Linked DNA regions of Canis lupus familiaris. Each later gene encodes a partner of the first gene's protein in a complex. Links are inferred from orthologs where the notes say so. Each region holds a gene or a part of one and is shown on either strand. Other genes may lie near its edges.

Evidence for each region.
Region 2: the proteins of FMN2 (region 1) and SPIRE1 are in contact, whole or in part, in a crystal structure (PDB 2YLE), measured with the Homo sapiens proteins. The link is inferred for Canis lupus familiaris from reciprocal best matches to the Homo sapiens genes FMN2 and SPIRE1. Residues at the interface, in NP_064450.3 of Homo sapiens: Ser1702, Leu1703, Lys1705, Ile1706, Lys1707, Pro1708, Arg1709, His1710, Gly1713, Ile1714, Lys1715, Lys1717, Ile1718, Lys1721, Thr1722; in NP_001122098.1 of Homo sapiens: Gln51, Pro52, Ile53, Asn54, Glu127, Ile131, Tyr134, Lys135, Asp138, Leu141, Lys142, Glu143, Asn144, Glu145, Glu146, Arg147, Glu148, Glu154, Ile157, Asp158, Ala161, Asn162, Thr163, Val164, Glu165.

The regions. Positions count from the first base shown.
Region 1 is NC_049228.1:31,820,599-31,824,418, forward strand, and holds part of FMN2 (formin-2), read left to right. Parts: intron 1-966; coding exon 967-1,113; intron 1,114-3,820. UniProt on the Homo sapiens protein: Actin-binding protein that is involved in actin cytoskeleton assembly and reorganization. Acts as an actin nucleation factor and promotes assembly of actin filaments together with SPIRE1 and SPIRE2.
Region 2 is NC_049228.1:78,148,288-78,152,581, reverse strand, and holds the start of SPIRE1 (protein spire homolog 1), read left to right. Parts: upstream 1-1,404; coding exon 1,405-1,699; intron 1,700-4,294.

The DNA.
Region 1 (3,820 bases):
CTTTTTTTATTGTATTCTCTAAGTATGCATAAATTTTCAGGAGAGCAGTTCCACAGAAGAGAAGGTACCACAATGGCTTCCAGATCAAAGCAAATGATGATTGGTGCACACTGTCACAGGGTGCTATCGCTGGAGTATGCTGGTTGGGCTCCTACCTCCAGGGATTTCTGTTCCCTCTGCTTTTGCCAAAATGGTCTGATCCTGTCCTACCTCAGACTCCAGATTCGATGTGATTTGAAGGCATTTCATTTACTTTCCTTCAGTTTTGGAAGGGGCCTTCAACAAACTGTTAATGATTCTATCCAAATAGTTTAGGAACAGCTGTATGACTCAACAGCAGATAAATATTCTTCCAAAAATAAAGAATAAATGCTTGGCAGAAAGTTACCAATATTACCATTTAAAACAATTTGTCAAAAATCAATTGTACCATTCGTTCTCGTTGTGGTAAATCATTTTGAAAACTAGTAAGATGTTATTAAAGACACATTTTCAGAGGAAAGAAGACATGCAAATTGCAGCTGAGCTTTGTGTTTTGGAAGAAGTGAGTGTGAACTTTTCAGGGATAAATCTAAATTTGGAATTAATCTTTATAGCCGTGTTTTGGTTTCCCACAGCTTGTGCCAAAAGTTTCTATTGCTCCAGAGTTAGGTACAATTAGGGTGATGGCAATGACATTATTTTGTAGTAGTTCTCCTATTACAACCTTATTTGTTTTCTGTGCAATTATATCATAGAAATAGCCTAGAATGGTATCTCTCAGTTTACAAATGTATATCTGAATGTTGTAGGTGGCAACTTCTTAAAATTAACTTTGGAAACACTGCTCTTAAAATACCCTAATAATAAGCACTGATACATTTTGATTGTCACCCAAAATTATTAGTGTAATATCTGCCACTGATTTAAGATAATTCAAAGAAAACTTTGTCTGAGAGAGAAAATGTTCTTTATGCTGTTTTGCAGACATTAAAAAATGGTCCAGGGGTTATGCAGATTCTGGGTTTGGTTCTTGCTTTTGGCAACTACATGAATGGTGGAAACAAGACTCGAGGACAGGCGGATGGCTTTGGATTAGACATTCTTCCGAAGCTGAAAGATGTCAAAAGCAGTGTAAGTATTTTGTATGAATGAATGTAGGCAATTTGAGGATTAGATGTTTTGTTTAGTAATAAGCTTGACTCTAAACCTGTTGCAATAAATGTTTCTTTATGTTCCGAATTCTTTATCTTCTGAGTCAGATAAAAGTATATGGCCATCAAAAGTTTATGGTTTTGTGAATAATAATACTTTCTAAAATGAGTAATTGTGAATCCTATGACTAATGAATAATTGAGTAGAGAACTTTTAAATAGAATGAAAAATAATGATTTTTATCATTACCATGTCTGCTAATATTTATCGCTTTGGACTCTGAGGACTACTTTTCATAAATTAGACATTCTTCTTCTCTTCTATGTTAAATAATGGAGGCGAACAGGCTTGTGCTTTTAAAACAAAGCAAAGATGGGTGAAAATAGATTGTAAATAAAATGTAAAAGATGATCCTGCTTTTCTACATATCATTCTCCCCTTTATACTGATATGTGTGAGAATGTCTAAGCCTTTTTGCAGGACTAATTAATTTTTGATCTGCTTCTATACTTGTATTTGTTTAAAATTAACATCTCAGATTATGAGAGTGTCAGTAAAAATAGAAGATTAAGGAAACAACTATGATGTTTAGAGTTAATGTCTGAGACTGTAAACTTAGAAAATAGTAGAATTCTGTTTCTCTGATAGAAGAATCTCCACACAGAACTGTTTGATAAAGGAAATTAGGGTCATGTTTTTAAAATAGTAAATTTAAGTAAACAACTGACTCATAGAAATGGAAATACTAGAATTGTTTTTCCTAGATAATGAATATAGTTCACCCTTGAATGATGCAGAGGCACTGACCTCCTGCTCAGTTGAAGATCCACACATAACTTTTGACTCTCCCAAAGCTTAACTACCAATAGCCTACTGTTGTTGATGAGAAGTCTTACGATAACATTACTTGACACCTATTTCTTGTTACATGTAATGTATACAGTATTCTTACAATAGAGTAAGCTAGGGAAAAGAAAATGTTATTAACAAGATCAAAAGGAAGAGAAAATATATTCCCAGTACTGTACTGTATTTGTTGAAAAAACCTATGTGTAAGAGGACTCACACAATTCAAACTCATGTTATTCAACGGTCAACTATAATCTCCCACATAAGAAAGACATACTTCTTTTTGTTTTTTCTATTGGCCCACAAATAATTTGCTCATTCATTCATACTTCTACTCATACATCCATTTACCATTCTTTCATTGAGTTCTGTGATATGCAACACACTGCTCTTCCAAAATTCAATAAAGCTATCATCCTGTTTTGCAACACCAGCAGCATATAATTTTCGTGATTTTTAAAATTCAGATCCTATCATATTTGTATGTCACAAGTTTTCACAGGAACCTCCAATTTGTCAACCTAATAAATCATATTTATCCAAAAGCAAAAGCTCTCTTTGAAGCACTTGAATGTGGCTCATAGTTCTTCTTCTTCAAAGCACTATGAATGTGGTTCATAGTAAGAATGATGGCTGGTTTGAAACAAGTAACATTTGCAAATAACACTGGAATATAAATATCATCAACACAATATTTAACTTACAAAAGTGGATCTGAAATAGATTCTGTAATCATAATTATATATGAATAAGGGATTATTTGTTTTTTTATTGTTTGATATATCTTATTCAATCCCCCAATAAGTTAAATTTTATTAATTTAAATAACTAAGGAGAAATCTAGATAAAATTACATAAAAAATCAAGAAGCAAGATTTTATTTTATAATTTCACTTGCAGTCTCACAATATATAAAGTCTTCCTGATTTGGTTCTTTCTCTATAAAACAAATATAACTATATCTACTTCTTAGTAGTATTTGTAGGCCTACATGGACAGAGCTGTTATTTAGATGACTTAGAATTTTCACTCAGCATGCGTATCAGCACACATTTAATAAATGCTTTGTTAATTGATTCATATACTGTTAACCATTGCATTGATATATGTTAGGAAAGAGAAAGGTAAGTTGCTTAAATTATTTACAAGCAAAGTCTCTTTCTAATAAATACACTGCTTTTATTATTGTAATATATTACTGCATAATATATTATTATTATAAATTACTATGAGGGAAGTCTAAAAGGTGAATTCATATCAAATTAAATTATAAAGGGATATTGCTTTTTATAAATAGAGGGAAAATGATGTTTAGGCTGAACACTTTAGGAGATGTAGTTTGTGTCATAAGGTTTTTAAAAATATATATATATATATTTGTCTTCCCACATTCAAATTATCTAGCAGTAATTTCAAGTGATGCAAAAAAGAGAAATAATTAAAACTTAATACCTCTAAGTATGCCAGAAAAAGAGTGAAAAACTATTCCTTGAAAACTATTAGAATAGAAACAATTCTACATGTTTTTCTATAGTAGTAAATACATTGCATTATTTATAGTAGTGAGGATATTAATTTCTCAATCTCAGTTGCTGACTAGCAATTTATAATATGCATATTTGCATTTTTAAAACTCCTGCTTAGGGGCACCTGGGTGGCTTAGTGATTGAGTGTCTATGTCTGGCTCAAGTCGTGATCCTGGGGTCCTGGGATCGCATTCCACATCAGGCTCCCTGCGGGAAGCTTGCTTCTCCCTCTGCTTATGTCTCTACCTCCCTCTGTGTGTCTCTTATGAATAAGTAAATTTTTAAAATTTTAGAAAAAGTAAAGTTCCTGC
Region 2 (4,294 bases), about 46 Mb from region 1:
CAAAGGCAGGCGCCAACCCGCTGCACCACCCAGGGATCCCTCCTCACTGGTTTAAAAATATCCTCTTGCTTTTCTCTCTTCTCCCTCCTACTGCTGTATGTACTATAGTACCTTAAGCATTTATAATAGATCATTGTAATTTTTACTGCAAGATGCAATTGTGAAGAGTCTAAGATCTAATATCACACACAAAACTGCCTTAAAAGTCTTATTGGTAGTTACTATAAATTTCTTGGTGGATGCTTTCAACTCTCTCAGGTTCTTACACAGGACTAGCCTCAAAGTGGAAAGTTACCAATTAAGCTCGTTAAGTGATTATTTTATCTAAGAATCGTGTTATGTTGCAGGACTTCATGAATTCAGCGAGGCTCTGGGGAGTACAGTATTTCTTTCATTGTATGGCTAATTGCCCTCATTTCCATGTTGCCACTGTGACATTAATTCCAAATCGTCTGAACATTCTGGGTTAACTGGACTAGAAGGAGTGTGATCATAGGAGACATTATCTTAGCGAGGAGCTGTACAAACGTTACGAAACGAATCCGGAAAGACGCTGAAACGAGGGTCCACAAAGTGTTTACATGTTTATATCCCAGGCCCTGATCTGGGAATTGACCAAAACCCACAAAAGGTCACGGGGTTTACAATGAAGATGTGAGGGCCTGTTCAGTAAACAATACTCCTCAGTGAATTATAACATTTTTTTAAATTTTTATTTATTTATGATAGTCACATCACAGAGAGAGAGAGAGAGAAAGAGAGAGGCAGAGGGAGAAGCAGGCTCCATGCACCGGGAGCCCGACGCGGGACTCGATCCCGGGTCTCCAGGATCGCGCCCTGGGCCGAAGGCAGGCGCCAAACCGCTGCGCCACCCAGGGATCCCGAATTATAGAGTATATTGGTGGCGACAGCTACTCCCAAAAGAGCAGAGGAGGGTCCGGAGGATGACGGGGGGACGAGGCCGGGGGCAGCGCGAAGTCCGTGCACCGGGAGCACCGGCGCGGAGCTCGAGATGCGCAGGACCGCGGAGCCGGGGCCGAGCCGCTCCCAGGCCTTGGTCGGGATCTGCTTCAGCCTGACGTCCAGCTCCTGCTCGGACGCGGCGGGACCCGGCCCCCGGCTCGGCGCGGCGGGCAGCGCGGCGCACGCAGCAGCTCCGGACCGTGCGGACCGGCACCGAGCGCGCAGCTGCCCGGCCGCGGGGCGGGGCGGGGCGGGGCGGGGCGGGGCGGGGCCGGCGGACGCCCTCGCGTCGCTACGGGCTGGCGTGGCGGCGGCGCGCGCGGCCGGGCGGGGCGGGGCGGCTCCGGGGAGGAGGCGGCGGCGGCGCGCCCAGACGAGTCTCCCGAGCCGAGGAGACGGCGGCACCCGGCGCGGCGGCGGTGCGCAGCGCCGACCCGCGGGATGGCTCAGCCGGCGGGCCCGGCGGGCGGCGGGGGGCCCCGGGCGGAGCCGGCGGACGGCGAGGGGCCCCCGGACGCGCTGAGCCTGGAGGACATCCTGCGGCTCTACAACCAGCCCATCAACGAGGAGCAGGCGTGGGCCGTGTGCTACCAGTGCTGCGCCTCCCTGCGCGCCGCGGACGCCGGCCGCCGCCAGCCCCGGGGCCGCCTGCGCTCCGCCGCGCAGATCCGCGTCTGGAGGGACGGCGCCGTGACCCTGGCGTCCGGCGGCGCGGGAGAGCCGCCCCCCTCGGCGGGTAAGGCCACGACCTGCGCCCCCCGGAGCGCCCCGGGCCCCGCCTCCCGCCCCGCGGCCCCCTTTTTCCGGGCTGCCCTTGGGCCTTACCCTCCCACCCCCCCCCGCGAACGCCGCCTCCTAAGGGAGACCCGGAGGAGCGGGCCTGGGGCGGGCGGGGGCAGGGGGTGGTGCTGGCGCCTTGCCATCAGGGCCCCACGTAGGTCGGAGCAGGGCGGGGGGGGGGGGGGAGGACCGCGGCACAAAGAGGGGTGCGAGGGGGTCCGGCCTCCGCCGCCCCCGCCTCCGGTAGGGCCTCGGACCTGCCCAGGGTGCTGGTGATTGTACGGACTGTCAAAGCACAGCTGCTCTTGTCTTGTTTGGGAAATGGGGTGTGCTGGGTCCTTTCCGTGATAAGCAATGTCTACATACTTAGATGCCAGGGCTATTTACTTGGGATGTGATAGGTGCTGAGAAAGGTTCACGTGAGATCTCGTCAAGGGTAGTTAATTCTGCTATCAGGAAAATTACACCTTTCAGAATGAATAATCAGCTAATAGTATTTTTTTTTTTTTTTTACATCATTCCTCCTCCTGGAATAGTAACCCTAACTGCCGTTAGGGAATGGGAGGATGGGATGACTCCTCTGGCTGCTTCAGGCAGAAAGGGGCGGCCTGCGGTGGTGGTGGTGGTGGTGGTGGTGGTGGTGGTGGTGGTGGTGGTGGTGGTGGTGGTGGTGGGACAAAGGCAGGGCATTCTCAGGGGTCAGTCGAGGTCCAAGATATGGCTCCCAGGAGATGTTGGAAGGCATCAAGAGACATAGGCCCCGGCAAACCCAGAGAAAAAGACAAAATCTAAGTTATTTCTATGACTAAAACAGCAACTCTGAAATGTTGACCCCAGTTTCCAAACCAGTAAAATAATCCTGGAGAGACTGATTTTTGTCTAGTTGAGCTTGAATGTCATTTATTGATTGTGAGACCTTATGAGAATTGTCAGTTATATTAAAACAGTACACATGTGAAAACTCTTTACAATTTAAGTGATGTTGAAGTAGTAATCAATAGTGGCCCAGTTCTTTAGAAGTTCTGCCCTAACTGCACTTAGTTCTTGATTTAGGCCATCTAACACTTGAGACTTGTCGTTCAGAGTTCTGAGTAGGCAAACAATTTGTTGGATCTGATGGTTTAAGACTTTTCCTAGTGCTGGGAGAGCCACAAGGGAGAGGACTAGGGCTGTTTCCCCATCTGATATGAGAACCACATGGGGTAGATGAGGTAGTTCTCAGTAAGGGGCTGCTGGGAATGGGAAAAGTAACCATCCCAGCCTGCCCCTAGTACAGAACTTCGAGAATTGTTTAGGAATGGTGTAATAGGCCATATTACAAAGTGCAAAATATGGCCCATCCTTTTGGCAGATGTAATTTCATTAGTTGGGGATGGGAGGTGTAAAGTTGCATTGATTAATAGGCTTATTGCAAGCTCTACATAATACAGTTGCTTAAATTATATGTTTTCTGTGTATGGGAGGGCCTGTATTGTGGAGAAGCAGGTTGAAGCTGAATAGTAAGGCTTTCGTTGAGTGGTAAAATTTCGGTCTGCATGGCCCCCACACCCATCAGACTATGAAAAAAGCAAACTTTGTGGGAGTTAATGCAAAAGAATAAACATAAAACAAATATTAGGCCCTAAATTATGATCACATTCCTTATATAAAACCTTCAGTTACCAATTTTGTTGACTAGATCAGTGGATATCTTTATCGTTTTAATGGATCACAAATGTTCCGTATTAATTAATAGGGCCACCTTGTGGGAGTTAACTGTAATGTTTAAACAACACATGTGAGGAAGCTTCTCACACCAGAAATGGTGTAGCAGTAGTAGACAGTCAATAGTGATGTGGCTCTTGAAAAGTCCCTCTCTGACTTAATTCTTCATTGAGTGTATCCAATGCCTGGGAAGTATTTAGAGTCCTGCTGAGCAAGCGTACTGTTTTGCTTATTTTATATTGCAGTCCTGTCTAAAATCCTGGAAGTCCCGTAGTGAGTTTTGAGGCTCTTTTTACCAAAAGAGCTGTTGTATGCTCGGCTATAGCCTTTGTTTGCAATTGTACCTTAGTAGAGGTGACTTCTAGGATAAATATGACTAAAGAATAAAACCATCAAAAAGCCCTCTTGGTTTGAGGTCTAGCCTGAACAGTATTATAATTACAAAGAATCACTTGCAAGTAGGAGAAGACTGGTCAAGAAATAAGGGCATCCCCAAGTACATCATCCAATCCAATCATAAAGTGGGGTCATCCATCATCTTCATAAGCCAGTAGTTGACCCTATACAGTGGGAGTACGCTCTGGCTTTAAAGGAACAATTTTGTCATCCCAGCCACACAGAATTGGTCAAAATACTAGTGGTATATACAATTGCTGGGGAATTCCATTTTTTTTGTTATTTGAATAATCATACAACCATGAGGTCCTGTTATTATCCCCATAGAATAAAAAGCATAAAGATTGTGTATACTTGAGCTATTGTGTAGAGATAGGAAAGCTATTGCTCTAAAGTTTACTTCAAGTAGTCTAGCTTAGGCAACAATATTCATTTAAAGATGATCAGAGCT